4 linked regions of the Saccharomyces cerevisiae S288C genome follow. The protein of the gene in region 3 interacts with the protein of the main gene of each other region in a biochemical or structural test. Each region holds a gene or a part of one and is shown on either strand. Other genes may lie near its edges. The genes, in order: SLD5, DIA2, MCM7 and SLD3.

Region 1 (7,388 bases), on a different chromosome or scaffold from region 3:
GATCCTCTGTGGTGAGTTTAGGATCTGGGGGACATAACATTCCTGAACGCATTTTAGCTCTCGCGGCTAGTAATACTTCAGCATCATTCCGGAAAGCTATTCGGGTTGCTCTTAAGCCATGCCTGTATGCATTCAGGGCCTTTGTTCTCGTGCTCATAGTGTGTTAAATTTATATAATTTGTTCTTTTTATTCTCTTCAGTGAAACGCAAGCGTACCGAAAAATATAAGGAAGTCTTTTAGTCCTATCCTTTTCTCTTCCTCTCTTTCCTTTGTAGTAGGTTCACTTATTCAAACGTTTAATTTTTCGGCATTACTCACTTTAGTAAGACCAAAATTAATTAGGCTAATATAGCGAAGTACCTGTCAAAATGCGATCTATGATAAAAGCATGATGTGACGAATATCTAAAAAGGAATAAAGACTTTTTTTGCATTTAATTATTTTCTAACCTTAGATATATAATGTTATTTATTTGATTTTGTAGTAGTTGTAGGCCCATCAAGGGTGGATATGAGAATGCATTAATTTGTAAGAATCGATAATGGCTTTCAAGTGGCATACAGAACCAAGAACCACCATAATATGAAATATTTGATGAGAGCTACCGAAGAAATCGAACTTCCCTGGAGCCAAAGTTTCAGGAATCCTAAACCCGTAGATTACAGCCCCTGAAATGTAAAAGAGAGCTTCCCAAAACACAAAGCTGACTTTTATTCTGTTAAGAACCCCTTGGATACCGAACTTGAAAAACCCTGTGGTCAATGGGAGTAAGCCACTAAATCCAAACAATATGAAAAACATGGCCCTAAATGGACGAAATGTGGAAGTGTTAAACTTGTCGTGGAGGACACAGACTGTACAAAATGTTGCCAGGACTAAAGTAACAATCGTGAAAAGACTGAAGTAGGATATGTGGTCGAAGTAACCAAAGTATATTATAGGGATCATAGAACAGGAAATCAAACTGATAATCCCCAAGTAGTCGAGCTTGCTCCAGAAATTGCTTTGCTTTTCAGAGTGTTGCTTCATGCAGTGGAAACAGCTACTGCACATGAGACATGAGAAAGCGCCCATCAAGAAAATGTTTATAACGGTGTAATCGGACCAGGAAGTGGAGGGGAAAACGGGAATTAGAAAGTAGTTGGTCAACGTAATGGCAAACACGAAGTATACGATAGCCGGTACCAAATGTGTATAAATGTTCACAGTCTCGTTGTTCCAATAAAATAAAGAATATAAGCACTTTTTCCATGACAGTGTTTCACGAACGTACCCGGTGAGAATTTTGTCATTATCTTTTTGCCATTCTGGCAACTCATCGAAATTGTGTAGCAGTTTTTGCTTTTCAAAAACTGTCTGGCCTGAGACAGCTTCCACCTTAATGGAGGCTCTCGTTGCCTTGCAGCAGACACTATCTTGGTTTCTTCTTCTAGTAGTGGTGATACTCATTTTTTTTCTTCTTTTATCTTGCTTGACTCAATTAAGGCGACTAATAACAAAACGAATGACGAAAATGGAAAACAATAGAAAAGTTAGGAACCAGAATCACTTTTGTAAAGTTAATATTGCGCTTGCGGAGCTCCTTACTGTTTCAACTGATGATACTGATATGCCTTTAGAAAAGAAATCAAATTCTATTAACAGAAGGGTGCCAACATGTACGTATATATATATGTGTGCGTGTGTATATATGTCTGACATATACATGAGTAACCGGCTAAGTAAGGTTTTTACGTTGATTGCTGCATCCATCGGTCGTGAGTATTGTCAAATTGCCGATGCCCTGCAGGCAAAAAAACCGTTGAAAAATCGTTGGGAAAATGGGCTTGCCCGACTGTCGGATTTAAGGGCTTGGACCCTAAAGGTTGCATGATAAGACCTACTTATTTTAGCATATAACCCTATAAAGGTGAAAATCTCAGTAGGGTTATTTTCGTTTAAGGGAGCATGAAAAATTCAAGTTAGTACATATTAATGGCTTTGAGATATTGCGGAGTGACAACAAGAGTAATACAGAGCAGGCGAGAAAGTAACGCTGGACAGTCACTATCTGGTACAACTTGCGCACGTGTACTTGCTTGAATACTGCTACTATATCATTAATATGGGAAATAGGTCTTTGACAGAGGCAGACCACGCCCTGCTGTCCAAGCCCTTGGTACCGACATCTGCGGAACATACACAAACGCAAGAGTATCCTCGTCCTTTCGTAGATGGCAGCAATTCTCAGAGCGGGTCTGAACTACAGGCTTCTCCACAAGGTCAGTTTGGAGAAAAGGCATTGACTAGTACTAATCGCTTCATTCCCCTGGCAAATGATGACCCGGGTATGCAGCACGAGATGGGTCTTGATCCCTCAATGAGGCGTAGAAGAGAAGAATGGGCAGAACGTGGTGCGGCAAAAATCGTCAAAGATGTTGTCGACCCAGCTACGGGGGAGTTAACTAAGCATGTTGTCAAGATGGGAATAAAGGACTTCAAGTTTGGAGAGCAACTCGGGGATGGATCATATTCTAGTGTTGTTCTGGCTACCGCCCGTGATTCGGGCAAGAAATATGCAGTAAAAGTGTTGAGTAAAGAATATCTGATCCGTCAAAAAAAAGTTAAATACGTCACAGTGGAGAAATTGGCTTTGCAGAAGCTGAATGGCACCAAGGGCATATTCAAGCTTTTCTTCACTTTCCAGGACGAGGCAAGCTTGTATTTCCTTCTAGAATATGCCCCCCACGGTGATTTCTTGGGCTTGATTAAGAAATATGGATCTTTAAACGAGACATGTGCACGCTATTATGCGTCGCAGATCATCGATGCCGTTGACTCCTTGCATAATATCGGCATTATTCACAGGGATATCAAGCCCGAAAACATATTGCTCGACAAAAATATGAAAGTGAAGTTGACGGATTTTGGTACAGCCAAAATTTTACCGGAGGAACCTTCGAACACCGCAGATGGCAAGCCTTATTTCGATTTGTATGCTAAGTCGAAATCATTTGTTGGTACCGCAGAATATGTTTCTCCTGAGCTACTGAATGATAATTATACAGATTCCCGTTGTGACATTTGGGCATTTGGTTGCATATTGTACCAAATGCTTGCGGGAAAACCGCCTTTTAAAGCTGCCAATGAATATTTGACATTCCAAAAAGTAATGAAGATTCAATATGCGTTTACTGCAGGTTTTCCGCAAATAGTAAAAGATTTAGTTAAAAAACTATTAGTTAGGGATCCAAATGATAGATTGACCATAAAGCAGATCAAAGCACACCTCTTTTTCCATGAAGTCAACTTTGAAGATGGTTCTGTTTGGGATGATAATCCACCGGAGATACAGCCATATAAAATAAATGCAGAGGCGATGAAGCCCCTGCAAAAGGTTTCTGAATCTGATACCACTGTCAAAATGGCCAACCTTCAGCTGGCTGGTAATGGACATGCAGATACTCCCCTGCAAGCACCAGCAGCGACCTCTCAAGAGCATTCTGTGATCAGTATGACTGCAGCAACCGCCGCATTCAATAAAGATTATACAAGTCAACCCAAATTGGGGAGCAAGTCAAGCACATCTGTTAGATCTGCCTCCAACAACACAGATCGCGAGGTAATTCAAAAGAAGGTTTCAAAAAATCGCGCATCTGTATCATCTCCTTCAATTTCTACTACATCACGGGGGAAAGATAATAGAAGTCGCTCTTCTGACGCCTTCTGGTCACGCTACTTGCAAAATATGGATGAACGTGTCTTGTTGATGAAGGAGGTAGCGCTTTCCACACGAAACTTAGAGGACTCACCTGTAGGTCTTGAGAACGTGGCTCTGGACTACAAGAACCCTCTTGATATCGAGCCTCCTACTGATAGTGCAGGCAAATTTTACAAGAAAATGTTTCTAATAACAAACCTAGGCAGAGCACTTGTTTTTGTCAAGAGAAGAAGTCTCAGCATGTGGGAAGAACAGGAATTTGAATTGCAATTCGAACTAGAGTTGAATGACGTTGAGAAGATACGCTTTATAAGTGATCAAGTCCTTGAAATTGACGGTTCCAGGACGATTTTCATAGGATGCAAAGAGAGAGCAGTTTTAATGAAACTATGGAAATTAATACATAATGGAATGACCGCCAAACCTAAAGTAGTATCGCCGAAGTCGGACCATAAAATGTTTGATAAGTTCATTCTTCAAAAAAGACAGAATACAAAAAAAAAGAATCAAGCTCCTCCCGTACCTCAATCGAATAGGCTAATAAATGGTTTACCGGACCGTTGCATCTTAAAGACACCCGAAGAAGGCGCACTTCACACAAAACGTCCCACTTCGTTGCAGACCCGATCGTCATCTAATTACTCAAAATTGCTGGCAAGATCGACACAAATGCGGAAAAACATGACACGGACAGATGAAAAATGAAACTGTGCTTGATAATATATATATATGCATATGTAAGACATGGTGAAGGGGAAAGTGTAATGCATAATAGTTCAAATAAGAGCAACTTTGTCGTCTCTCAGCAGATCCCTAATGACTTCATATCTCATAACGTAAATACTTCCAATAGTGAGTTCAACCTCTTCCTTTAAATCGGGTATTGTGACCGTGTAGCAAGGTTTACCGAACTCGTTTTCCTGCAATAGCGGATCTTCGTTCCATTTACCATCTGGTGGGCCGTTAACGTGTATAAAGACAAATTTGTTCCAGTCGGGCTCATCTATCATGTTTACGCTACCTTCTGTATCATTAATAGCCTGAAGTTCTTCGGGCATGTATTTCAGGATAGAATCATTGACTAGTTTCAACCAGATCAGGGAATGCGTGTCATGGTATTTGATTTCATCTTTGGATAGTAAATCTGTAAGAGAGATCAGCGAATTTTCATCTTCATTTAATTGGCGCAAATAAAGTGAGAATTTGTCAATTTTGCTTAGCCTACATCGTATGTAGCTTCTAATAACAAATTTCAATCTTTCTAACTCAGTTTCCATGCAGAGTAAAGGCAATTTAGATTCGTTAGGCATAGGCGGGTTCGCATTAGAAGCATTTTGCATATCGAGGAATCCCATTGAAATGTTTTCAATTAATTGAGATTGCATGGATATTCGATTCAATAATCTTTTCATCAACTGATGAGGATATGGTAAGAGTTCTGGCGAACACCGTTCATTTTTCCAAGACTTCATCAAGTCAGAAAAATCCTGCTGGGGAGAGACATATATCTGAGTCTTGTCATTCAAGTCTAAGGACGAACCCACTATTGTATTTGCATCTCTGTGGGTAGTGGAAGAAGAACCTTGCGTGATCTTGGTAGAGTCGACAGCAGTAGTTTCCTTATCCAGTTCTGCAAGAATATCGTCTATGTTAATGTCCATCACCGAGTCAGGTATCTTATTCTCCTTCCCAATACTAACAAATTTGGTTTTTCTTACCTATGGCTCAAATATAATGCTATTGAAATTTTCAGTACTAGTCCAAGGCGAAAAGAAAAAGAAATGAACTAGTTTTCGTGTTTTGCCGTAAACAAAGAGAAAAGGGAAAAAAGAGCATCACAGTTGGTTAATCAACCAAAGAGGAAGAAGGATTGAAACATTAAGATGGAGCGATTGAAGCAACTGGAGGAAAAAAGGAGACAATTGAAAGAGCTGCGTGAGAGGCGAAAACAAGCCAGCTTGTTCCCTGGGAGCGAGACGATGGGCCACCATCCCACAGAGGTGCACGCTAAGGCAACCATGGTCAGCGTTTCAGTGCAGACCGACATGGAGGAAGGCTCAAAGATTCAAGAGCCCCAATCTGCATATCTTCGACGTAAGGAGGTTATAACATACGACAAAGGCATTCAAACAGATCAAATTGAGGAAGAACAACTGCAAGAAAATGAAAATCACACCACTACTGATGCTGTCGCCATTGAAACTACTGCTGCCGACGAAAATAATAAAGACAAAGCTGAAAACGACCAGCCAAGGTTAGAACTAGCCAAACCTTTTCTTGTTGAAGAGGCGGCGGCAACGCTGAGCAACGCTAGTTTTGCGCGGCTGGAGACAGAGGTTTCTGCGTCAGGCCAGCAGGCGCCATCGAACATGCAACAGGATAAAGACAACCTCATGCAATGGAACATGGTCAGTGAGAATTTACAATCAGAGACAGACTGCGATTGTATCGCTCAGGAGTATGACCCAGGAAAAGGCGTCTTGGTTGTGGTTTATCTACGATTGCCGCCGGCAGACCTACAGTATGCTAGCAGCGAAGCGGCGTGGTCTGTGGTGAATGTAGTCAAGTGCGATAATGCCAGCGGACGCAACGGCCTCTTGATAGATATGGTAGAGTTCCGTGGTACGCGGATCATGACAGCCACGATCCTCCGTCGGTATCATCCGGAAAGCAATGTAATATCAATCTTGTTGGCGACCTTGACGGGCAAGATCATATTGTACGAGCTTAGATTGAAACAGAAAAAGCCAGAAACACCGGTAGTGTATGTCGTGCAGCGAAATATGGTGGCAAGACACTACTTTCAGCACCCAGTGGTGGCTGTAATTGAAACAAGCAGCGTGCAAGATCAAGAGAGAGTACTTGTGGCAGCTGATAATGGCAATATTATGGAGTTGAGCTGCCTGGACTTGACTGTTTTGCGGAAGCCACAGCAGCTCCGTCCTGTACCGCTATCACAGCTTTTATCTTTGGAGAATGATACTTGCACATATACGGAGCGATTGCAGCGGTTGGCAAAGTTTGATGAGGTAGGTATAGCTTGCATGGCGTACACGAGTGAGGACCCGCAGTACGTCTGGATCGGTGGCGAAGACGGTGGTATATACAAGGTTTTCTGGGACCAACCTGGGCCGCTGTACCTCTCTTTGGACAACAATGGGTTCCAACCTGCAGAAAACCACTCTACGAGGGTAACCGGGTTAGAGTTTCATTGGGACGATGCTCGGCGGCTAATGCTTCTATTATCATGTTCCACGGACTGGACGGTGCGGCTGTGGGACGCGCGAGCAGGGAAAGCTATCATAGGGGCGCCATTGTTGTTAGGGGGGCCCGTACTACGTGCACGCTGGCTCGAAAAAAACAATGGAGGGGAAAATAGTCGCACTCTACGGTGTCAAGTGTGGTGTGCAGATGGTCGCCTCGTTGTTGTAAATTGGGCTTTCGATGCTAAGACGTCCCTCTACACGGCCACTGTTATCTCCTAACGCCGCTTCGAGGCGGGTGAGCATAGGTTATTGCCTGATGAGTAATTTCTTAGCGAGAATTGATAAAAAAAAGCAAGGCTATTATTAATATACGTGCTATTGTGAAATTTTCATTGGCGTATATATGTGAGGTGAATGTAAATATCTCCAACAAAAAGCAGAAGGCTAAAAAAAAGGAAAGGAAAAGAAGAAAAGGCAACGT
Region 2 (7,998 bases), on a different chromosome or scaffold from region 3:
GCAAGAGCCTGGAACCCGCCCATCGAGTGGCCGATGACTACGTTTAGTGCCGGGTGGCTGTCAATACTGCCCAACTCGCATGTGGCAATCTTGAGCACGTCGCGGGCCCCGTCGATCCAGTTGAAATTGGTGCCGAGTCTGCCGCGGTTGCGTACCGCAGAATCACCGTGGTTAACCTGGTCGATCAACAAAACCTTGTCGATGGCATAATTGCCCTCCGCATCGGCGGCTACCAGACGCGGCAAATAGTACTCCCATACCACCTTACTCATGCCGCTGCCGTGCAAAAACACAAGGTTAAGCCTAGTGGCAGTGCGAGAGCGGCGTTGCCGCTCTGCGCTAGTGTACACATCGTATGTGAGCTCGAGGCGATCTGTCGCACACAGCGTCGACTGCGGTGCGCGCGGCCAGCTAGCGCTACAAGTTTTCGTTTCTTTCTTGAACCTGTTCTGTTCCATTTTAGCCGCGGATGTTGATCGGCGGATACGCAGAGATAAGCAGAGTACGCACTAGTGAGCTTTTTTAGCACGCACATTACGCACTTTATATATATGCTAAAGGGTGCAGCAGCGGGCGCGGCTGCACTAACTCCGAGATTGCGGAGAAAAAACTCGTACTACCACATTAAGACGTCTCCACTTCGGTATCCGACTCGGGCTCCGTTTCGTCCGTGGGTTCTCCAGCAGATGTCGCCGGCACGGGTCGGTGTTGTTGCTTCTTGGTAGGCGACGACAATAGCATCAGTGTTTCGACAGCCGTGGCCTCCTCCCGTGGTGGGTGGCCTCCGAGCGCCTGAAGAAACGCTGTATGCGCGGAAGTACCCGCGTCTGCACTATCTGGAAATCTGTTGTGATAGCGACGTGGCGGCGTCTGCACTGCTGGAGCAAGCTCCGTCTCCAGCTCGGGAAGTGTCTTGTCCGTCCATCCATTTTGCAGCTTGACTAACGCGTAATTGAGCCTGGTGCGCAAAGTATGTGATATTTCGCGGATGGGCCGCTCGCCCGTAGACCGACGCGCAGCCGTCGGAGGTGACCTCAAACGCGGCGACGGCGACAGAAACACCTCCGACCGTCTTGACTTGGGCGTTGTCGGTGGCAACAAAGGCATACTAACGTGTCCGTCGTACTTCTTTTGATTTTCATTTTCTTCTTCATTTTCGTCGTCCTCACTCTCACTTTCGTGTCCGTCGTCGTTATGGTCATATACACGTCCATGTGCGGTTATGCCGACACGACGCTTATTGACGGGCGACATGAATATACCCTGAAGACTCGTTGTCGACGGCCTTCTTCTCGATTTAGTGATGCTTTTCGTTATGCCTGGTGGTGACGGCGGCGATGGTGTTCCAAAGCCATTTTTGAGACGTACTGGCGTGCTCAATAGAGTGGTTGGCCCAGGTCGCTGCTGATGCTCGTTGTTTACATGTGTATCTGGGTTCTGTACCTGCTCTTGTTCTTGTTCTTGTTCTTGTTCATCGCTAGTCCTGCTTCTCTTCGGCGTTCTCAAACTCATATTCTTCAATGTCTCTACTATTTTTCGTTGCTATTAATATCTGGTTGTGCTTTCTTCCATCAGGTTCTTTGCCTTGTTTTGCCTTTGTTTTGTTTTGTTTTGTTTTGTTTTTTTTATTTTTTTCGTTCTGCTCTTGAAGTTTTCGCTTCCCTTTTCCCCCTTCCCTTTAGCACCAGAAGTCATGAAACAATTAGTAAATCAAGAATTATCATTAAGGCAGCGCGAGGAATTATATAAAACAAAAAAAAATAAAAAAATAAAAAAAAAAAAAAATAAAATTCGAAAACAATAGGAGACAAAAGACATCATAAACAGCACAAGGAAGACGGTTCTGTTTCGTTGCTATGTCTAATACCTTGCCAGTAACAGAATTTCTTTTATCCAAATACTACGAACTTTCCAACACTCCTGCCACAGACTCATCATCGCTCTTCAAATGGTTATACCACAAGACTCTCTCCCGTAAACAGCTGCTCATATCCGATTTGTCTTCCCAGAAAAAACACGCCATCTCCTACGATCAATGGAATGACATAGCGTCGCGATTAGACGACTTAACGGGACTTTCCGAATGGAAAACAATCGACGAGTCCTCGTTGTATAACTATAAGCTGCTGCAAGACTTGACCATCCGTATGCGCCATTTGAGAACCACTCACGACTACCACCGCCTGCTTTATCTGATTAGAACTAAGTGGGTCCGTAATCTTGGCAACATGAATAACGTTAATCTTTACAGGCACTCGCATACCGGCACAAAACAAATTATACATGACTACCTAGAAGAGTCTCAAGCAGTGCTCACCGCGCTGATCCATCAGTCAAATATGAACGATCACTATCTCCTCGGTATTTTGCAACAGACGAGAAGAAACATAGGGCGCACGGCTCTCGTGCTTAGCGGTGGGAGCACTTTCGGCCTTTTCCACATTGGTGTTCTTGCCGCCCTTTTTGAATCGGACCTGATGCCTAAGGTGATCAGCGGTAGCAGTGCTGGCGCCATTGTTGCCAGCATATTTTGCGTCCACACGACCCAGGAAATTCCCTCCTTGTTGACCAATGTACTTAATATGGAGTTTAACATCTTCAATGACGACAATTCCAAATCTCCCAACGAAAACTTACTAATCAAGATATCGAGGTTCTGCCAAAACGGTACCTGGTTCAATAATCAACCTTTGATTAACACAATGCTTTCGTTTTTAGGAAACTTGACCTTTAGGGAAGCCTACAACAAGACTGGAAAAATCCTGAATATCACAGTCTCGCCTGCTTCCATATACGAACAGCCGAAACTACTAAACAATTTAACCGCTCCAAACGTTCTCATCTGGTCTGCCGTATGCGCATCTTGTTCTCTACCTGGAGTTTTCCCCTCCACGCCGCTATTCGAGAAAGATCCTCACACTGGAAAGATTAAAGAGTGGGGGGCAACAAATTTACATTTATCAAACATGAAATTCATGGACGGATCTGTAGATAATGACATGCCCATTTCTCGTCTTTCTGAAATGTTCAATGTCGACCACATTATCGCCTGCCAGGTAAATATACATGTCTTTCCCCTGTTAAAGTTTTCAAACACTTGCGTTGGGGGTGAAATTGAAAAGGAAATTACCGCCCGTTTCAGAAACCAAGTAACAAAGATCTTCAAATTTTTTTCCGACGAAACTATTCATTTTTTAGACATCCTAAAGGAGCTTGAGTTCCATCCCTATTTGATGACCAAATTGAAACACCTTTTTTTACAACAATACTCTGGCAATGTCACAATTTTACCCGATCTATCAATGGTTGGTCAATTCCACGAAGTATTGAAGAACCCATCTCAACTTTTCCTATTGCACCAAACTACTTTAGGTGCAAGAGCTACTTGGCCGAAAATTTCCATGATTCAAAATAACTGTGGCCAAGAATTCGCCTTGGATAAGGCCATCACATTCCTAAAGGAGAAAATAATAATCTCTTCGTCAATAAAAAACCCTTTACAATTCTACCAACCTCGATTCAGTGAGCAAATCAAATCTCTTTCCATAATGGATGCTGACTTGCCGGGAGTTGACTTGGAAGAATCCTCCTCCAATTCACTATCAATTATCAAGTCTCCCAACAAAACAGCGGCACCGGGAAGATTTCCTCTTCAGCCATTGCCTTCTCCATCTTCTACCTTCAACAAGAGGAAAATGGATATGTTATCGCCTTCTCCATCGCCTTCTACATCTCCACAACGTTCAAAATCTTCATTCACGCAGCAGGGTACAAGGCAGAAGGCAAATTCTTTATCGTTTGCCATCGGTGCATCTAGTTTACGGCTAAAGAAATCACCATTGAAGGTTCCATCACGACCTCAATTCAAAAAAAGATCTTCTTATTATAATCAAAATATGTCGGCAGAGATGAGGAAAAATAGAAAAAAATCTGGAACAATTTCCTCTTATGATGTTCAAACAAACTCAGAAGATTTTCCCATACCGGCTATTGAAAACGGTTCATTTGATAACACTTTATTCAATCCAAGCAGGTTCCCCATGGACGCTATGTCGGCTGCCACAAACGACAATTTCATGAACAATTCAGACATTTTTCAAAATTGAAATGAAAGACAATAAGTACATTTTTATATAAAAAGCTTTCTATATTCTCACCTCCATCAACTCCAAAAGGTACATGCCATTTTGTTATATTAAATATTCTAAGAATTTTCCGAAGGATACTGCATTATCATCAGTGATTTATTAATCTATGAGTATGAATATGAATTAATTCCAAATTTTCTCCATACATCTCTTTCATAAACACAATCCACTTGAGTAACTAAGTTCTGCGCTCGGATCATATTAACTGTGATATGAGACACTTGGGAACATCCGTCAATATTTAAATATGCCAGTGGTTGACCTCCCGCTTCGTTGTCATGATCCATCTGAAATTTTTTTAGAAATTCATATATTGATATTCCTGTAATTTCAAAATTGTGCGAAATGTCAAGCCTCTTTAAATTTTCCAAAAATGGTACATTAATAATGAATGACTTCATCGTACTATCATTCAAGGAGCTGAGATGCGATAAATTTATTTCTTCCAACTTGGAGAGTCTCTTCAAAACTGCATTCACATCCAGTATCATCCTTGCTGTATGAGCGTGATTATTTGGGAACTGGATGTTGGGGCAATTCCCAATGTTTAAACTTCTTAATTTCCGACCATCCAAGTATTCCTGCTCGCATAATCTAGTCAACGCAGAACCACTTATCGATGTCCCCATTAGATCCAACTTTTCCAGGTTTTGGAGATTTTCCTTGTAAAATAGCATGGATGGCACCTCGTCGTCATTCGTAACAGGCTGATCTTCATCCAAATTAACAATTGGATATAGCTTGTTCTCTCTAAAGGTTAACTTTTCCAAGTTTTTCCAGACATTCGAAAATTTTAACAATTGCAAAAACTTACTGAGTTCACAGTTGTCGTTATCTTCTATCCATAGTTCTTTTAGGTCTGGGAAGTTCAATAGCCATTGAAAATTCATTATGTCTTGATTATTCATAGGAAATGTTACACCAGTTATCGTCAGTTTCTGCAATAGAGGAAACTGGCCTCTTAATAGAGCACGACAAAGTGGAAAATTCTTAATTTTCTTCTTATCACATATCAATGTTATCTTCTCTAGCTCACTATAAATCACCTTTTCTTCTACTATTCCCTGTTCATCATTATCCGCAGTGGATATCTGCATATTAGTATGACGGGCCATCACATTGAAACTTCCATCCCTCCCAACGCTATTATTTCCGTCGAAAATTGGTACCAGTGAATTGACAAAAATTAATTCTATTTTTTTCAACAGAGGACAAGTCTGCAGTATCTCCAATTCATGTTGTTTATCAGGCCTATAAGTTATCATGAGAGATAATTCCAGCAGCCTTGTAAAAAAATCTGTGCCTCCTCTAACCATTAACTTAAAGATTTGTGTTGTAGTTAGTGTTGGCATTGACAGTATAAGCCGTTCGATGTTTATACATTTCGGCATTTTACTGAATAATAATTGAGTTATTCGTAACTCTTCCGAAGTGATTCTAGAACTGACTTTTACTTGTGAAAGAATATATTTTCTATACGTCCTGGTGAAATTCTGTTGTAAAAAATCCATAAACTTTACAAAATTTTTAAAATTTATTGGTGCCAAGTTGAATTCTTGGAAGCAGTCTAAATGATACAAAATTTTGTCCCTCCATTTGTTACAAACTAGCGACAACGTAACAAGCTCCTTAGTGGTAAACCTTTGGAATATGATAGGTAGTATTTCTATCGGCAAATTGCCAACTAAATCAGTTTTCTTGGTACTACCTTTAATCTTCTTCTTTGGTAACGATTCTAGAACATTATTATTCTTTTTTTTTTTTGCTATTTTGGTCTCCTCTAATGGATCTATATAACTTCTCTTGCCGTCCTGTTTTTGAACCATGTTATTTTTAATGAATTGTTTTTGTTGTCTTAGATGATTGCTATCGTTATTGCATAATTGCAGTCCACGAGAACATGTTTTATATGCCCTTTTCCAGTCTTTTAATTTTATCAACGTCCTTGTACATCGTATATAGCATTTGATATTACCTGGTTCTAACTTAAGTAACCTTTGTGATACGTCCAAACAAGATTTCAAATCATTCAATTTTTCGTAGCACGCACAGATGTTATCCAATATCTTTATGTATCTAGGATGATATAATCGTTTGTTATCCGGTCTCGCAGTATCTAATTGATACGCGTTCCTAATGCGCATAATCTGCTCCTGAGAATAAGAATCACATACTCTCAAAGCATTTGTGAATATCCTTTTCGCTTGCAAATATTCTCCAGATTTAAAAAGCCTCGTTCCTAATTCAATTGCTTTCAGAACGGTAGAATCTATAGCCACGCCTGAATTCCCTGGGGAAGACATCGGGGTGTATTTTTTGTTCTTGGTAATAAATTTATACGACATGGCTAATCATTTTGCATGTCTATTTATAATATTTTTCGAGAAATAACTATAAAAAAATGACGAGAAACAGTTTAGCTGCATAAAAACTTCTCAAATAAGCGCGGTTTAAAGCTAGTGTTACCAAGACCGATAATAATGAAGTTTTTGGGTGTAATACTGCTAGCAAGTTTTCTTTTGATTGCTACCTTCCTCATAGGGCTTATCCCATTGTATTATATTGATAAACAAAAAAGTTCCATTGTCACAAACCAAGAAGGTGCTGACTCAATTTCTGATTTTACTACGAACGCAGATACTCAAACGATCAATGACGATGTTAGTAGTTACCGTGTGAAGATTGCCGTTCTATCACAATTCGGTATAGGAATGTTGTTAGGTACATCATTTATGTTGGTAATACCGGAAGGTATCAAAGCGTGTGTCGAACATGATGGAAACGTTGGTGTGAATTTATTAATTGGGTTTCTAGGTGTTTATGTTCTTGATAGGTTGGTTACACTATGGGTTTCTAGAAAGCAAACGGTCTATACGCATGATGCTGTCAAATTTCAAAGCTGGAAAGATATAATAAACCATCCAAGACAAATATGGATGAACTTAATACAAAACAATGTTGTCTTTGCCTTATTCATTCATGGACTATCTGATGGAATTGCATTAGGTACGACAACGAACAATGATTCACTGCTCATAGTGGTGTTAATTGCTATAGTTATTCATAAAATTCCTGCCGTTCTTTCCCTCACTAGTTTGATGGTATCGAGACAAAACTTAATGAAATGGGAGGTGATCTGTAACGTTTTCTTGTTTGCGTCATCGACTCCGATCGGATACATAGTGTTATCCCTTTTGAATCTGAGTCATTCGCCAACGATGGATTGGATAAGTGGAAATCTTCTGCTTATGAGTGGTGGCAGTTTACTATATGCGTCTTTCACAGCATTTGTTGGTGGAGATTCTCATGATCACGATCTCAGCGTTGAACAGGAAGTCGTTTTACCTCATGATGAATCCGTTTATGTTTTGATAGGTGTCTGCATACCGTTGGTGATATCGTACTGCATCTCTGAAGAATAACCTACCAAACTTCAGTATATATTCTCATTGTTTGATTATAGATAAATGAACATTATGATTAATTTTGTGATTGTACTATTATTTTATTATGTTGTATGCTATATATTACCCTTTATTCAAAGCCTTTCTATTTAGCCAACGGTCTTTTGAACGTATGATGGATGATTCTTTCTTTGGTGGTAATGTTTTAGAATCTTGTGTGGTGGATAACAATTGAACTCTAAATTTTCCTCTTTTCACCGAATCTTTCCTTAAATTTTTTAATGTCTTCCTTTTCTTAGTTTTTATAGCTTTAGCCAATGCCTCTTCATTTTCATCTGACTCATCCAATTTATCGAAAGTTACATGTCTTGAAGATGAGTACTGCGTACTACCTTCGTCCTTCTGATCTATATTTTTTAGCAATTCCTCAGGAAGCTCCGCAATTA
Region 3 (8,743 bases):
GTAGGGCATTCTATGGGTTGTTTTCTGGCATGTCATCTTTACGAGCAGCACATGGCTGATACAAAAGCGGTACAAACGCTAGTTTTGTTGACGCCCCCCAAAGCACATATCGAGCAGCTTTCTAAGGATAAACATATTATCCAGTGGGCTCTCTATGGTGTGTTTAAATTGCCATGGCTATTTGACGTTTATAGAAACAAATTCGATCAGGTAAAAGGTCTACAAAGTTCCGGCATCAAGCAGTATTTTTATCAACAAGGTGATGATGTCAAGTTGAAATACAGGAAGTTCTGGCAATTTAAAAACAACATAAGCAACAAAAGTAGAACCATCATAGGTTATTTACTAGGATGGGAAACTGTTGATTGGGTTAAATTCAATGGTGTATTGACGCAAACGGATATGAAACAGAAAATTATAATATTTGGCGCTGAAAAAGATCCTATAGCTCCTATTGAAAATTTGGAATTTTACAAACAAACTATAAATAAAGAATGTCTTCGTAAAGTGATTATTTTACCTGACTGTTCTCATAATTTATGCTTCGACCGTCCAGAATTGGTGTGTGAAAACTTTCAACGAGAGGTGATTGATAATTCCAAATTGTAGAAGGTTTTCTAGATTTCACATTGCGTAACTAGATTTTCGTGCACACTGCTACATGAATTGATAAAACAAACCAGAAAAAGTAACTAAGACCAATATTTTCAAATTTTTCATAGTATACTTTATATCGTACATCTTACAAGCAAAAATCAAAGGTAGTGTCTATGTATGCAAAAAAATAGGAAACGAAAAATAAATATAAATAAATAAAGCCATGAAATGTAGAAAGGCTATGCAAAAAAGAAAAAAATAAACATCAATAATATTTGGCCAAATAAATTAACAGAACGTATGCTGTTAAAAGAGAGCAGTCGTTATATGATGCTTTCAGCATAGTAGTTATTTTCGCCAACATTTCTCCTTAGATCAACTCTCCTCAACTCCTTTAACCTACTAATCAAATTGTGTGTAATACTGTCTATTCTCAAAGTTGGTTTTCCAACTTTCATTTTGTCCATATCAATGTCATCATCCACACATAATTTAACCACTAAAGAAACATAATCTTTGGAAACTTTTGTGAGCCAAAATGAAGTTGGCTTTTCTGTTTTTAATATTGTCAACCTGAATTGTAAAGATTCTGCTTCGAGATTGGAATCAGAAGTAGCATCAGCCTCAGATCCGGCCCCATATCTAATATCAAATAAGTTTGATATTTCGAGAATATCCGGGTCTCGGCAACAATAGTTTTTTATATATAGCTTTTCGGACTTGATATTAAAAAGCTCTTCTAATCCTAAATCATCTAAATTTGAAAGATGATCCATAACCATCAATGCGACAAATTCATGCAATTTGGCATTACAAGCCCAGGAAAAATTTCTATCCAAGCCAGAGTCCCGGAAACTGAATAAGTGTCTTTCATAAGAGTTGTTTTCCATGGATTTATAATCCAAATGCTGGCGAAACGTCCTCATTACAAAATACTTTACCATATATTGCCTGCACCACACAATGTCATTCATTTTCACCTTAGTTAAGGAGCAGTAGCCACCTTTTTCTTCATTTCTATTGCAGATCATTTCAAAAATTTCAAAAGGGTTTAGCTTCTTTAATACGACGTTCTTATTGTTCAAGGTATTGTTGCGTCTGTGTTCCTCTCTTGTTTTCGTTTGTGCATCGATTGGAGGTGGGTAATCTGTCCAATTCGCCTGACCTCCAATCCAACTAGATGGATTGGTACCTAGGCTTGAAGAACGTGAGTGTTTCTTGCTTAACCCCTCATAATATTCATAACCTTTGCCAGAATCGGTCATATAGACAATTTCTAAATCTTTCTCAGGGCCTGCAGAAACACTAGACTCCTGGACAGCGGGCAACAGTGAAGATGTCATCCTTCTTCTTTCGGATCTTTGGTTGATTAATTTGAAATCGGTACAAATAACTAAATTGGAAAGGTTTAGTTCAACAAGGTTAGGACACAGGTTCAGCATATGTAAAATATAACCTAGGGGCAGATCTTTATAAGGAGCGTACTTTAAAAGAAATTTGTTGGCATACGGATGATGCGTACTAAATGGTTGTTCAATGCTAAATTTTAATGTCGAAGAACGATAATTGGATGGATGCCCCGAATCGTGCTTTAAAACTTTAAAGTCATCGTCAGACTTATCCTTCGAGTTCTTTAAATTAATCGTATTAGCTGTCCTTGCCTTTCTATTTCTTGAACTTAACCTCATTCTAAACCAGGAAGATGACGTAATGTCAGATATAGGTTTTGCTTTCTGAGGAGATGACCTTGTGGACTTCGCAGAAGCTTTTTTCAATGATCCAGCAGTGGAAACTCTTGACAGATTACTACCAGAAGAGATGTTACCATTGCTGGTATTAGACGTGGTTGAAGACAATGAGACATGGGAGGTGTTATAGATGGATGACATGATACTCGTCGTTATGGAAGCAACGGAACTATTGGAACGTTGTCTCCTTGTAGAGTGAACACCGGTGGAATTTCCAGAAGATGTAGAAGTGATAGAAGAAGAACGAGAAACCACTTTTTTCAGTTTAAAGCTGTTCAACAGAGGAGAGCTATAAAGGGGTTCATTTCTGTATCTCCAGTCTCTCCAACCAGCTAATGCCAAGTCTTCAACTTCACTGCCATTTGAAGCGTCGTCTTTGATTAATCCGCTATTGGCATCATCCTCGTTAGAAATGGTAGATGTTGGAGTAGCTGGAGGTAGATTCAAACTTGTGTTAGTAGATCTGCGGCGACGGCGTCTGTGACGCCTTGAGTGGCCATCATCGTCTAGGCCTTGAGAATCCTTCGAGTCTTGGCCTATAATTCCCGGCTTCAAGTGTGATAGGTCCAATACTTTCACGTATGCCCCGTTATCCGGATGTAATCTTAGTGAGGTGACAAACTGCGCCACTCTGTAAGTGGAAGTGAAGTAAGGTAGCCTATAAAGGACGATCTTTGTCGCCTTATAAAACTTCTTCGATACGTATAGACATCTTACGAGTGTCTTTTGATCACGACCTAACTCGAATTCAGAAAGTATTTTGGCAATTATTTCAACTGGTAAATCGTTGATATCGGCAAATTTGCCCCAAGCATGGTATTTTCTCTTCCTCAGCTTTTCAAATCTGGAATTTTCATGTTTACCAGAATGGGAAGTCTTCAGAGAAAATATAGAAAATGAGTCGGATGAAGCACCATGATCGTACAATTTATTCATAAATTTTTTTGAAGAGGTGGAGATTAAGGATTTATACTTTTTTTTAATCCTTGATTTCCTTGAATTCATCGTTATGATAGTTTCATTATCTAAAGATGTGACGTCGTCACTGCGTCTCTGACCTATGGAAGCCAAATCATCAGGAGCGCTGGATTGATTTTGATTGCTGAGTGGAGATTTGAACGTCGATAAGGGTGATTGACTCATTGATCTGGAGCAATTTGAGCCATGACGCTGTTTGCTCCTGGACTTTTGTGAGATAGATGACAGTTTACCAACTGTGGTAGAATTCTTACCAGCATTATTGCTACCACTGCCGTTACTATGATACAACTTATCGTAAACGGAAGTTCCGTAACGAGAATAGTTGTTAGAAACAATATTGACGTTTTGAAGTCTTGAAGCACTTGACATCAATACACTCGACCTTGTTTAGTGTACCTTTTTTTCTTTCTCCTTTTCCCCTCTTGCTTCGAGTGTCTATATAGTTCCTCCCCGCAAATATTCTTCAGCTAAAAATACTATCGTCCGGGATTTTCAAGAATAAAAAAATATCTTCAAATATAATCTAGTAAACGGAATAAAATAGGACTACCGTACTGAGCGGACAGGTTTGTAAAGGTTATATTAGTTTGAGAGTGGGACTATATATATATAGACTATATAAATATATATATATATATACTTATATTTTTGACAGTAGGGATGGAGATCGATGAATGTTGCCTTCACATGTTAATGAATGAAAAAAATTTTACTGTCTGCGGGTCCCCTAAAAGTCCTCTTGGCGATAACAGAATGGGTGCCGGCAGGTATCTCAAATTCGGATTATTATCAAGCGCTACGAATTATTCTGAGAACAATCTTTTCATTTTCTGGAAGAACTCCGCACGGTGTACTCTCTGGTATACTCAGGGGCTGACGGTACCCTGTAGCACGGCTCTCCACAGGCACATCTGAGCAATACTAGCTGGCCCTATTCCGCTTGAAGATAATTTTCCTTTCTCCGCAAAAAAAAAAAAACAAGAATTGGGCCGCGGTGCACGGACATGCGCAGTCATAATGTTAAGTCCGAAATGTGTGGGGTCTGTGGCTGGCAAAAGCGATGAATAATATTAGTAAAATTATAATAATACAGAATACATATCTTGAAAACTGGGCCTTGGAAGTAAGTTACAGAAGGTAAATTTGAATGTGCAGCTATATGGAAATGAAAAAAAGGGGGAAAAAGAATAAAGAATGAAGGCCCTGTTGCTTTTTTTTTTAGAACTTTCAAGCGTCTTGTAGATCGATATCAGAATCTTGGGCGCTCACATTAGCGGAAGCGGTCGTTTGTGGTGCGAGTTTAGGCGTGCTCACTAGTGAGTCTTCCTGGTCTGTGTCCATGGTACCGTCATCCACGAATTTCAAAGTGTTACCCTCATTAATTAAATGCCAGACGTTTAAGTAAGAATATTCTTGGATACAGTTGCTTAATTGTAGCATGGTAAACCCTCTTAGTCTTACAGTTTTCACAATATTTTCATATGATAGCGTGTTTTTACCAGTTTCTTGTAACATTTTCTTGATGATCGTAAAGATTTTCGTTGTGGGGCTTTCATCTTCTTTAGATTTGTTGGTTTCTTGATACAATGATTCCTTGGAGACTCGGACCAACCTCAAGGCTTCCTCCACATCATCTATATCCACCATATCAGCCAACCTTAACTTTGCTAGCGCTTGAGATAATCTTATAATACCTAGTAAAGTTCTCGGAGTGGCTTGACCAAAGGAAAATTTGGAATCCATTTCTCTCTTGGAGTCTTGTCTTAATCTGATGTAAGCTTGCACCACATAATCGTTTACAGCTTCACTCATCACTGGCCTCTTTGTCTTAGCATAGGCAATGTACTCTCTCATTTTAGAGGGTTCTACTGGAGTGAAGTCCAAATCCGGTTGTTTATTATGCATATGCACATATGTAACGTGCTCGGCTAATTTTTCGTCGTCATCTCTACTTGGTATATCTAACATTAAGAAGAGAATATCAAATCTGGATAGTAAAGCAGCTGGTAGATTTATATTGTCCAGAGGTGATAATCTAGGATTATATCTACCATACAACGGATTTGCTGCCGCTAAGATTGAGGTTCTGGCGTTCAAAGTTGTATTGATACCCGCCTTGGATATCGAAATTGTTTGTTGTTCCATAACTTCATGGATTGCCGTTCTGTCACTTTCATCCATCTTATCAAATTCATCGATACAACAAATACCGTTATCAGCGAGTACTAAGGCACCACCTTCTAGAATCATTTCATCCGTGACAGGATCTTTCATGACGGCAGCGGTCAGACCAACGCCTGAGGAACCCTTACCAGTGGTATACACTCCTCGAGGTGATATTTTGCAAATGGCCTTCAGCAGTTGAGATTTGGCAACACCGGGATCACCCATCAGACAAACATTGATATCACCTCTGATTTTCATACCGTCACCTACCCTTTTATCAACACCTCCGACAAGTAATAGCAGCAACGCTTTCTTTACGTCCAAGTTACCGTAGATTTCCGGTGCAATAGATTTTGCCAGCCTATTATAAACATCACCAGAGGTGATTAATTCCATAACTCTCTCTTCTACATCAGAAGTCAGACTGAAAGACGCAAATTTCTTCTTGTGTTGACGGACAAACTGTGCCTCTAAATAAGTTTCTGTCAGTAAGCCAGCTTTCAAAGCTTTGAAACCGGTGTAGGGCGCTGGCAAGAATATACCAGTTACATCGACGATATCACCAGGCGATAAAGATCTTACCAGCGTCCCGTTAACGTGGATATTTAGCGACCTAGGAATATGACCCACTGGCACTTGTTGTGATAACTCCTGAATTTTACATTCCTGAAAGGCACTAAATTTGGAAGCTCGTGTACTCATAAACAATTGACCCTTTGTTTGATTTTGGGAACATTCTTCGGAAGTACATTCTGACAACGGAGTAAAAGTACGAGAGTTGACCTCTTGGAAAACTTCGTACCCACATTGATCGCAGGTATATGCGATAACTTCCACAGCTGGTTTGACATCAGAAACTCTGGTGATAATACCTCTGACGGTAATCAATTGGCCTAGGAAGTCACCTTTAATCTGCCTAACAGATAATGGTTTAGAACTAATTGCTTTCTTCCTGTAACGACGAGCACAATTTTGCGATAGAGGCTTAAAATAAAGGAAATAGCGTCTAGTTAAATTAGGAGGAAATAACTCAGTTTCATCCTCGACAACTTCTCTTAACGCATCATTCATGGAAGAGGGTGGATCCATCGTGGTATCCATGAGGTTTTCGCTTCGGATCTCATTGGTCCTGTCCGAGAGCATTCTCTCATTCCTCAGTCTCCTTTGGTTTAAAATAACATCAAGAACGTCGTCCTTGTAGTCAATTTCTTTTGTTGGTAGCGGCATGTTGTTGTCAATGGCACGGCAAAATAATTCAGTGAAGTGATTAGCGTTTTGTTGAATGGCAGACACAAGGTCGTCTGCCTGTGTGCCCTGGAGAAACTTTTCGTTTTGATACTGTAGAATGTCATCTAAATCAATAATCACGGAATTCAGTTCCCTATTAGCCACTTTCTGTAGCATCGCCATGTACTTGGGCCCCTTTTCCAATAGATGTTGTTCGATATTCTCAGCATCCAAATTTTCATCTTCGTTCTCATTTCGTGTTGCATCAGAAGACAACGTATCCTGCTTGAAAGTCACCAAAAAATCGGTGATTTCATTAAAAAGATTATTATAGTCGACAGGAAGCTGAATTGATGGAAGTGCCGCACTCATAATCTGGTCTATCTGTATTGAGTTCTTCCTGCAAGATTCAAGCTAATCTAGGTAGTGATTATATTGCCTTTCTAAATGTAAGTTATTGGTAAAGACGTGTATGTAGCCTGCTACTGTAGTACATCTCGCTCTGGTCCTTTGCTTGTATCTCACTTTCGTGAAAAAAGAAGCAAACCGACTTAATGAATTGCATTTATTTTCCTTATAAGGAAATTTCCTTTCTGGGTAAATTAGTTAAGAAAAATTTTTTCGAGGCCGTGAAAAACGCGAAGGCTTATACAATGTATTATGAGTGAGTAATAAGTAGCATTCAAGGGTAGAAGGGGCCTCGACCTGTTATTGAGAAAATATACAAGAAGCGCTTATTATATTCGAGTAGCGGCTACGTTGACCTAGCAGGTATCCCGTGGGTAATAGTTTAAGTTATGACATTCACACCACTTTAGAATTTACTTACTCTTTTACCCTCTCTGTCTCTCGTAGGGTACATTTCTTTGTGCTTCTATTCTGTTGCTCTCAGACAAATTTGGAAGTTTTACAGTAAATTATTTTTACTCTTTTCCTTGTCGTCGTAATCAGTGAGGTATCCTGCCTGGTACCTTCCCCTCATTTTTGTACGAAGTATAAACAAAAGCACGGAAAAGGGGAAGCTAAGGAAAGTGAACACCTGTGCTTCGCATTGTTTGCTGCGATTAAAAAAGGTAATACAAAGGCAACTTTAAGCTTTTGTACCGTATCGGCCTATCATAATAGAGAGCCCGCGCACTTCCTAAGAAAGGCAGTTCGTTGCAACTCTCCGGTGGTTTCTTCGCCACTGCAAGGAAGACAATAGCTCGAGAAGGTCATTATTGTTGGAAATATGTTAATTACCATAGCAACAGCAAAATATTCCTAATTCTCAGAGTTATATAAGCAGGGTATATAATAGGCCATCTGCAAACGGACACCAAGTTTTTTTTCTTCTTTCCTCTCCTCTCCTCTCTTTTATATTCCACATTTATTCCCTGTGACAAGGCGAAAACCAAGAATTTTTTTGTAATATATAGGAAATATCACAAAAGATCGAGGACTAACAATGCTGGCCATGAAATCATTTTCACAAGTTTCTAAATCATACAAGGCAAGTGCTCCCAGTAAAAAGCTGACGACGTTGTTTTATGTTGCTTACATCACTCTGGGACTAACAACACCTTTCCTTCTACCGGCCCGAATGGCTTCTAAAGACACACACTACTACAAGGACGAATTTTGTTCTCAACGATCATACACCAGGTTTTAGAGTCTTTCGAAAATATGGGTTATCATTAGGGAGAAAATTACCGAGACTTTTTCGGCTACTTATTTATTCTGCATTTATACATTTGAGACAGGTTCTTCATATTATTTTTAGTTTGTGGGATTGCAGTTTTAACTGTACTGTTTTCACATCTTTCATTCATTCTAGTCAACGTTTCATTTATCCTTGGCCTATTTTATATGTAGTTATTTATGCTAAGTATGTTTGTTTATCAAGCGTTCACTTTTGTTATTGGTTTTTGGTAAATAAAAACGGCCTTTCCTTTAGGGTGTTTCAGTGTTGCGGAACCAGTCGTACGGAGATTTACACAAATCGATGCCATAAATCTTCCCTATTATATCATCCATGTAGTAAA
Region 4 (8,098 bases), on a different chromosome or scaffold from region 3:
GAAGTTCGTTGCTTTAAATTGCAGGGAAACACATTTTCTAAAGATTCCAATTGGGGACTTGAACATTATTACGCAAGATAACATGAAAAGCTGTCAAATGACCACTCCGGTCATAGACGTCATTCAGATGCTTACCCAAGGTCGGGTTTCTTCCGTCCCTATTATTGACGAAAACGGCTACTTAATCAACGTATATGAAGCATACGATGTCCTAGGCTTGATAAAAGGAGGCATCTACAACGACCTGTCATTGAGCGTCGGAGAAGCCCTTATGAGGAGAAGTGATGATTTTGAGGGTGTTTATACATGCACTAAGAATGATAAATTATCTACTATTATGGATAACATCAGAAAAGCAAGGGTGCATAGATTCTTTGTAGTTGATGACGTCGGACGGTTGGTTGGTGTCTTGACGTTAAGCGATATTCTCAAATATATCCTTCTAGGTAGCAACTGAAACGAGCCGATGAGATTTTTGTGTACATACTATAAATAAATGCAACTAATAAAGTCATGATTAATCAGTCATGCATACTTCATCTGACCAATATATTTTCATCTTGCTTATTTTGGGTATAATTCGGCGGAAATTCGGTTATAAAGCGAAGTGAAAAATCGATTAGTAATGATACTGATGCGATCTCTGGGAGGGGGGAATGCTGCATATAAGGGTGAAGGAAGATAATGCAAAGCCTTTTGTAGTATTGTCTGTTGATACCAAAATAAATTAGTTCATCAAAAAGGTACAGGCAGCTAAAGAAAAGCTGTAAATTTAACGCCGTAGAAGGTATTTTTCGTGAGATCTATCTCAAGGCATCATTTTTTTTATTTTCGCACCAAGATAGGAAGAAAAAGAGTCACAGTATAGAGGACTAACCGTTAAAGATTCTAAATCGGTACTGTAAATACTTTGAAATGCCTCAATCTACTCCAAGTCAAGAAGTACAGCGTGTACCATGGGATAATAAACCTGCTTTGAAGCAGATAACACTCCGAGCAACCATAGCAGGTATCGCTATAGGGTCTCTGGTGCTAACATCAAATTTTCAATTTGGCCTGCAAACCGGTTGGGTTTCCATGATGTCCCTGCCATCGGCATTGTTAGCTTGTGCTTTCTTTAAAAATATCTGGCCATTAATATTTCCGAACGACAGGCCTTTCAGTGACGTTGAAAATGTATACGTACAAAGTATGGCAGTAGCTGTCGGAACAGGCCCATTAGCCTTTGGGTTTGTCGGCGTCATACCTGCCATCGAGAAGTTCCTTACTAACGACGAAAGTGGTGGATTAAGGGAACAAGGACAGTCCTTCACTTTTAGAGAATTGTTAATATGGTCCACAGCCCTAGCATTCTTCGGTATTTTTTTTGCAGTTCCTCTAAGAAAGCAAGTAATTGTTAGAGAGAAACTTCCCTTCCCCAGTGGTAGCGCCACGGCCACTTTAATTTCAGTGCTAAATGGAACTGAGATTTTACAAGAGGTTTCTAAGTCAGAGTTATTGGAAATGAGGCAGAGGAGATTGAATGAATGCCCTGAAGTGCTACAACCCAACAGAGATCCAGAGGAGGCGGATTATTTAATGAACTCTTCTCATAGCGAACTTGGTGATTATACGGCAACTAGCCAAGATGGAAGTTCTATCCTTTCTACTGGCTCTGAGAACTACAGAGCGAATATTATTATTTTATTGAAAACTTTTGTTGTTTCTTCGCTTTACACCATGGTGTCATATTTTGTACCGGTAATACGGTCTATTCCAGTCTTCGGAAAATACCTCTCGAACAATTATCTCTGGAATTTTCAGCCGTCGCCTGCGTATATAGGCCAAGGGATAATAATGGGTCTTCCAACAGTATCGTATATGCTTATCGGGTGCTTCTTAGGCTGGGGTGTGTTAGCACCATTGGCGAGATACAAAAGATGGGTACCACCAGATGCTGATGTCCACGACTGGGAGGAGGGAGTGCAAGGATGGATTCTTTGGTCGTCGCTTTCAATAATGGTTGCTGACAGTGTAGTCGCTTTTATTGTTGTGACAGTGAAGTCCATTGTGAAATTTATTCTTATAGATGACAAAGCTGCTTTACTGAACAACATAATCGATGATACATTTCAATCTATGTTACTGGAGGAGGAACGCGCCATTAATAGCAGCAGAAGAAATACATATGTTGATGGAAGGCAGGACACCGTAAGATTAGTGAGTAGAGATAACGAAATAGAAGTAGATTCGAAGCATTTGGTTCGCTATACCACCGTTATCAGTGGATGTCTAGTCTCCTCGATAATATGCATTGTTTCCATAATATATTTGTTTGGGATACAAGTAATTCCCCTATATGCTATTATCACTGCTTTGATACTTGCGTTGTTTCTATCTATTCTCGGTATTCGAGCACTTGGAGAGACCGATCTGAATCCTGTGAGCGGCATTGGTAAGATCTCTCAATTGATTTTTGCCTTTATCATACCAAGGGATAGACCTGGATCAGTGTTAATGAACGTGGTATCGGGAGGTATTGCAGAAGCCTCTGCCCAACAGGCGGGCGATTTAATGCAGGATTTGAAAACGGGGCACCTCCTCGGCGCCTCCCCAAGAGCTCAGTTCTGTGCCCAATTGATAGGGGCCTGTTGGTCAATTATTTTGTCTAGCTTCATGTATTTGTGCTACAATAAAGTTTATTCAATTCCGAGTGAGCAATTCAGGATACCGACAGCAGTAGTGTGGATAGATTGTGCAAGACTAGTAACTGGTAAAGGGCTCCCTGATAAGGCCTTGGAGTGCTCCATGATTCTCGGAGTCATATTTGCCGTTTTATCATTAATCAGAAACACTTATAGAGATTACGGATACGGGTGGATATTATATATTCCGTCTGGTGTAGCAGTCGGTGTTGGTATATTTAATTCTCCCAGTTTTACAATTGCAAGATTCATCGGCGGGTGGGCTTCGCATTTTTGGTTGAAGAATCATAGGGGTGACTTAAATGCGAAAACAAAAATGATTGTATTCAGTTCGGGGTTGGTCTTAGGTGAAGGTATCTTTAGCGTAATAAACATGCTCTTCATCTGCTTAAATGTCCCTCACTATTAGGTATATAATATTTTACTAATAAAGAATTTACAAAGTTTACAAATTTTAAATTATTTACTCATCACATAATTCGATGTCTTAGATTTCCCTGTATATATATTTCTAGGTGACAAAAATCCTAGGCAAAATGTTATATTATACGCGACCTTGAAATATCGGCTATCTTGGTGTACAACATGGTCCATTTAAGAAAAATAAAAAAAAGTGATGGGCACTGTTAAAACAGGCAGAAGCCTCATTCATAACTGCTGAAGGGTTAAGATCGTATAGGTAGGAACGATCTGACCTCTCATAATGGAAACATGGGAAGTCATAGCATCGGTAAAAGAAGCAACAAAAGGCCTTGACTTGAGCTTAGATCATCCACTTATTATTAAATCCGAGGACGTGCCCAGTAACATTCTCCAATTACTGCAACAGAAGAATCGACGTCAATTGAAACACATCTGCATGAAATCAAGAAAAGAGTATTTTCTACTAGAGGAATATGGGCCAGGATTTTGGGTTAAGTGGCCGTACAATTATTTCAATGGTTACAGCTTACCAGAAAGGCGTACGGAAGTTGTAACGACAGTTGAAAGAGAAAGAGCTAAGCGTGAAACGTTAAAAACATGGGACGAATTGAAATTTAAAGAGCTTCTTCATTTATGGTCAGAAGAACCCAAGGGCTCGTGTAAGCTTGAGAAGGACAAAGACCTTAAACTGGATATGAATCCCCCAGATATGAAAGGCGAATCAAAAATTAATGACTACTATTCAGACCCTAAAGAGTACATAGAAAGTAAGTATTATGATGCTCTTTTTTCCATACATACGCCTCTCGCATATTTCGTCAAGTCAAATTTAGTAAGGCTCAAAAATACCTGCCGAACCAAGTACGGAAGTGACAGTTACAAAATAGCCTATCAAGCCATGCTGCAAAAATTTCTTCTCTCAATTGTACAATTCAAAGATAGACATGATAACAGGCTTTTATTAGAGCCCTTTTCTAGTCCCATAGCAGATGAAAAAAGGAAGAACTGTCTCACAAAATTTGTTATCCAAGATGAAAACAAAAACAGCTCAACCATTGCTGATTTATGTGTTGTATTAAAATCCCGCGAAATAAAGCTACAAATATTATTGCTATTAGAGATAATAGGATTGAACGATTTAGATTGGAATTTTAGAGATTTTGAGAAAAAGTATAAATTAAAATTGAAGAAAAGATCACTTAATTTGACAAAAAAGGGATTAGTTCGTCGAAGATCGAAGAAAAAAACCAGCGAAAAAGACAAAGGAATCGAGAGAATAACAACATCTTTGGATTATTGTGAACAGTTAGACTTGTACTTAGATAGAGCATGCATCTTGGACATTCTACTATCAAGTGAAACGCCCAACCCAGATGCCATAGAAGCATCAAATGGAACAATACAAGAGCATAAAAAAAATATCCTAGACAAAAGCAAAGAAGCCTCATTGGTTGGGTTCATAAATTATGTTCTTATTCCATATTTCAACAAAAAGGTACCACACGCCGTTGAATTTATAATTCAAAAGCTCAAGGGACCAAGCATGAGACCAAAGAGAGCCCTGAAAAAGGTCAACGATAGCACAAATGTATCGTCACCTAATACTGTAGAAACGTATAACAGGTTATCCACGAGTCAACGTGCCTCTCGCTCTTCAATCATTAATTCCGTCCCATCTTCACCCGCATTGAGAAGGGTGGACGCTAATTTGTTCAGCAGAAAATCTATAGCTTCGCCCACCCCTGAACTTTTGAATTCTAGAACGAACTCTAACTTGAATGAATTTCTCGAAAGTGAAACTAGAAGCTTAAAGCGCCCTTCACAATTGGGAAGGACGAAGTCTGATCTAACGATGAATCATTTACAAAAACGGCAGTTTTCTGTCTCTGACTTAAGCACAACAAGAGTACCGAATTCATCAACTATCACACTCAAAACGCCTTTCTCGCACTCAACTATTAATGCATACAAAACTATGAATAACTCTTTTCGCAGAGTTGGGAAACGTAAAGATATCAATGAAACGATACGCCTACATGAACGTGTAGACTCTGAGGAAAACGTACAAGTTCAAGCCACTCCTGCTGTGAAAAAAAGAACTGTGACACCTAATAAAAAGGCGCAACTTCAAAGCATCATTGAATCGCCGCTAAATTTCAAGGATGATGATACGCATGAAGGCAGAAAAAATACCTCCAATATTACCTCTACTCCCACTAATAAGCCCCCGGAAAATAGCTCAAAAAGGAGAGTAAGAAGACGTTTATTTGCTCCAGAATCCACATAGAATAAGAAACTGCGAGACCACCTTCGCTGGCAAGTAGTTGACCCAACTCCATCTTTGTAGCTTTTCTTGGACGAAAAGGGAATAAAATAAAACTAAGCTACAACAATTTCGCACTTCGGGGGCCTTTGAGTATACAATTAAATAACTCATCATGCATATATATATATATACATACAATGGCGTATGTAAAAACTGTTATATAACATTACCGTTGTACTATTAGTATAAACCGATTCTCACTATTCGCCAAAAAATATCGCACTAATTAATTCTTTTGCGTCGTCTCTTTTCAAAATGTGAAATCCAATAGTGACACCACACCTCTCTAGCAATTTTTCCTTATCCTCATCCGTAACTTTTTCACCTTTACCCTCGTACAAATCTGGTAAATCCTTTTTTAGAACTAACAATGCACTAATTACAGTATCAACCAAGATTTGAGTTTCTTCTTTAGTAAATTTGGTCCTAGTTGGATTGGAGTCATCGTTCAAATGTTCCTCTATATTGTCTAGAGTTATTCCGCTTTCATTGAATACCAAGCGCGCCCAATTATTTAGGTTTCCTAAGAAGAATCTGATGGATTCACCTTCTAGTACCGATACACCCTTTAAGCACCCATAGTAAGTCCCAAAAACACGGTTTATGTCCAAAAATGTCTTTAGCAGTGTCCTAGTTACTCTTGGCTTCAGGGATTTGTATGCTTGAGGAAATTTTTTCAATACATAGTCCAACAAAGATGCGGCAAAATCACGTAGTGCATTCGTTCTTTCTAAAAATTCATGAATTTCTTGCGGCGAATCATCTTTTGGTGATCCACCAAGTTTTTTTGCTAATAGCAAGGTTAAAATGGAAGGCATTAACGAATGAATATAAGGGTCCAGGAAAATAGAAGTATTGCTTAGTAAAGAGTAAATCATTTCCAAAATTGTTGTTAGCAATTGTAAATCGGAAAGATTTTGTGTGATTTGTTCGGCAATAAATTGAATAAAATATGGAACCAGTTGGTGCAGGCCACTATCAGTTCGTAGTGAAGTCAAAGCTGCTTGTTTCATATGCTGTGCAGCTTCATCAGCTTGACTCTTCGCTGTCAAGGTTGAAATGACCTTATTGAAATAAATCTGTAATTCTTTGGATAAAACGTGTTTCACTAAAGGTTTGACTTCAGTATTCTGTCCTGGTTTAACATTAGACAGGTGTTGAGAGGCGCCTGTATCCGTCACAGAAGCACTTGCTGTCGTCGACGTTACAGGTGTTTGGAGGCTGTTATCATTCAAAGCAGTGACAATAGCACCTCTAATAAATGGTGGTTGGGATACCCTTATATCATTCAAATTTGGATTTTGGATTATGGCAGGTTGAACCCCTTCAACTGCTAGCCAATGTGTAGTAAAAGTTGGTAGACGAGGCACTTGCGGTAATGGCTCATTTATTAATCTATCAAAATCTACTTCTTCCTCATCCAGGTAGTAAACCGACTGTCCTCCACTTGTGTTAACCTTACTAAATGATACAGCTTTATTAACTTCAGAGCCATCATAATATCCATATAAAGGTTCCACATTCAGAACACGCAGGGCCTTCGATACATCGTCTGTAGTTAAAACATCTCTTTTAGAGTGTCTTTTAAACTTGACTGCCTGTTCAATAATCTCTAGAATACGGTATTCAACGTCCATAGCAAGTGCTTTCAACACGTCATCGTTGATATTTTCCAACCCAAGCGACTCAGCGACATCTTTAACAGTATCTTGTGGAGACCAAATTGTGTAAGATTGCTGCTGTGTAGACATTTTAACAGGCTATCAACTACACTGAGGCGTCCTTTGCTTCCTTTTTAAAGCCAATCTATTGTTTTCGCTCATGAACTACTTTTGCTGCTACTTGAATCGGTGTTTGTTATTGATGGTTTCCGGGTATTTTTTTGGTAATAAAATAAAGCTGAAAAATTTTGTAAAGCGATGCCCAATCTCGAAGCCTCACTTCAATGAACATAATACAGAGAAAATTTAACCATAAATAGGCCCAGCTTCGATCGTAAAATGAGGTTACTAGTCAGCTGTGTGGATAGTGGATCCATAAAGGAAGTTTTGTGTAACATCGGGACTGACACTTCCGTACAATCAGCACTGCAGCCTTTTCATGTGGCACCTCATCTAGCCGAAGGATTGAAAGCTTACGTTGACAGGATGTGGGTGATATCCGAAGATGAAGCCATCTTAGCAAGGAATTCAGGGGTCGTCGAACTTGTAAAGATTTCGAAACACCTTAAAGAAAATGAAGCTCTCCAGGTCGATCCCAAAGGAGAAAGCAAAAATGAAAAGAGCCTTTCCGATGATCTACCCAAATTTGACATATCCGAGTTTGAGATAACCAGCTCAGTTTCAGACCTTTTTGATGATGCCAAATTGGAATCACTTTCAAGTAAATCTGTTAAAAGAACCAAGTTGGTGGATGGTTTTGTCACATTATGTCCCATAAAAAAGGATTCGTCGAATAACACATTCGTAGCTGCTACCAAATCGGGATTATTACATATTATAAAAAAAGGAGAAGATAAAAAGTTAATAAAACTAGCATCCCTTGGACTGAAAGCACCAGTAGAATTTCTTCAGTTATATGATCTAGAAGATACCGATACTGATAAATATATATTTGCATACGGAGGGGAGGAGAATTTAATAAAATTAGTGGAAATAGATTCGAG

What was found.
Region 1: the proteins of MCM7 (region 3) and SLD5 form a complex in vitro, tested with the Saccharomyces cerevisiae proteins (4 studies listed by BioGRID).
Region 2: of the proteins of MCM7 (region 3) and DIA2, one has a biochemical effect on the other in vitro, tested with the Saccharomyces cerevisiae proteins (5 studies listed by BioGRID).
Region 4: the proteins of MCM7 (region 3) and SLD3 form a complex in vitro, tested with the Saccharomyces cerevisiae proteins (4 studies listed by BioGRID).

What each region holds. Positions count from the first base shown.
Region 1 is NC_001136.10:1,428,986-1,436,373, reverse strand, and holds SLD5 (DNA replication protein SLD5), read right to left. Parts: upstream 5,363-7,388; coding exon 4,478-5,362; downstream 1-4,477. Other genes in the region: MZM1 (Mzm1p), read right to left, coding at 1-157; IZH1 (PAQR-type receptor), read right to left, coding at 500-1,450; serine/threonine protein kinase PKH1, read left to right, coding at 2,106-4,406; PAC11 (dynein intermediate chain), read left to right, coding at 5,585-7,186. UniProt on the Saccharomyces cerevisiae protein: Required for DNA replication. Functions as part of the GINS complex which plays an essential role in the initiation of DNA replication by binding to DNA replication origins and facilitating the assembly of the DNA replication machinery.
Region 2 is NC_001147.6:473,047-481,044, reverse strand, and holds DIA2 (DNA-binding SCF ubiquitin ligase subunit DIA2), read right to left. Parts: upstream 6,452-7,998; coding exon 4,253-6,451; downstream 1-4,252. Other genes in the region: LPX1 (triglyceride lipase), read right to left, coding at 1-458; transcriptional repressor WHI5, read right to left, coding at 625-1,512; TGL5 (triacylglycerol lipase), read left to right, coding at 1,857-4,106; Mn(2+) transporter ATX2, read left to right, coding at 6,629-7,570; BUD21 (Bud21p), read right to left, coding at 7,676-7,998. UniProt on the Saccharomyces cerevisiae protein: F-box protein component of a SCF (SKP1-CUL1-F-box protein) E3 ubiquitin-protein ligase complex which mediates the ubiquitination and subsequent proteasomal degradation of target proteins. Probably recognizes and binds to phosphorylated target proteins.
Region 3 is NC_001134.8:624,120-632,862, reverse strand, and holds MCM7 (DNA replication licensing factor MCM7), read right to left. Parts: upstream 7,092-8,743; coding exon 4,554-7,091; downstream 1-4,553. Other genes in the region: LDH1 (triacylglycerol lipase), read left to right, coding at 1-609; COS111 (Cos111p), read right to left, coding at 921-3,695; MIN7 (Min7p), read left to right, coding at 8,167-8,370; DER1 (derlin), read right to left, coding at 8,652-8,743. UniProt on the Saccharomyces cerevisiae protein: Acts as a component of the MCM2-7 complex (MCM complex) which is the putative replicative helicase essential for 'once per cell cycle' DNA replication initiation and elongation in eukaryotic cells.
Region 4 is NC_001139.9:292,545-300,642, forward strand, and holds SLD3 (Sld3p), read left to right. Parts: upstream 1-3,387; coding exon 3,388-5,394; downstream 5,395-8,098. Other genes in the region: AMP-activated serine/threonine-protein kinase regulatory subunit SNF4, read left to right, coding at 1-457; YGL114W (uncharacterized protein), read left to right, coding at 916-3,093; TATA-binding protein-associated factor TAF6, read right to left, coding at 5,634-7,184; ribosome biosynthesis protein NSA1, read left to right, coding at 7,434-8,098. UniProt on the Saccharomyces cerevisiae protein: Required for loading and maintenance of stable association of CDC45 with chromatin during initiation and elongation of DNA replication. Also involved in temporal regulation of origin firing. Required for the association of PSF1 with origins.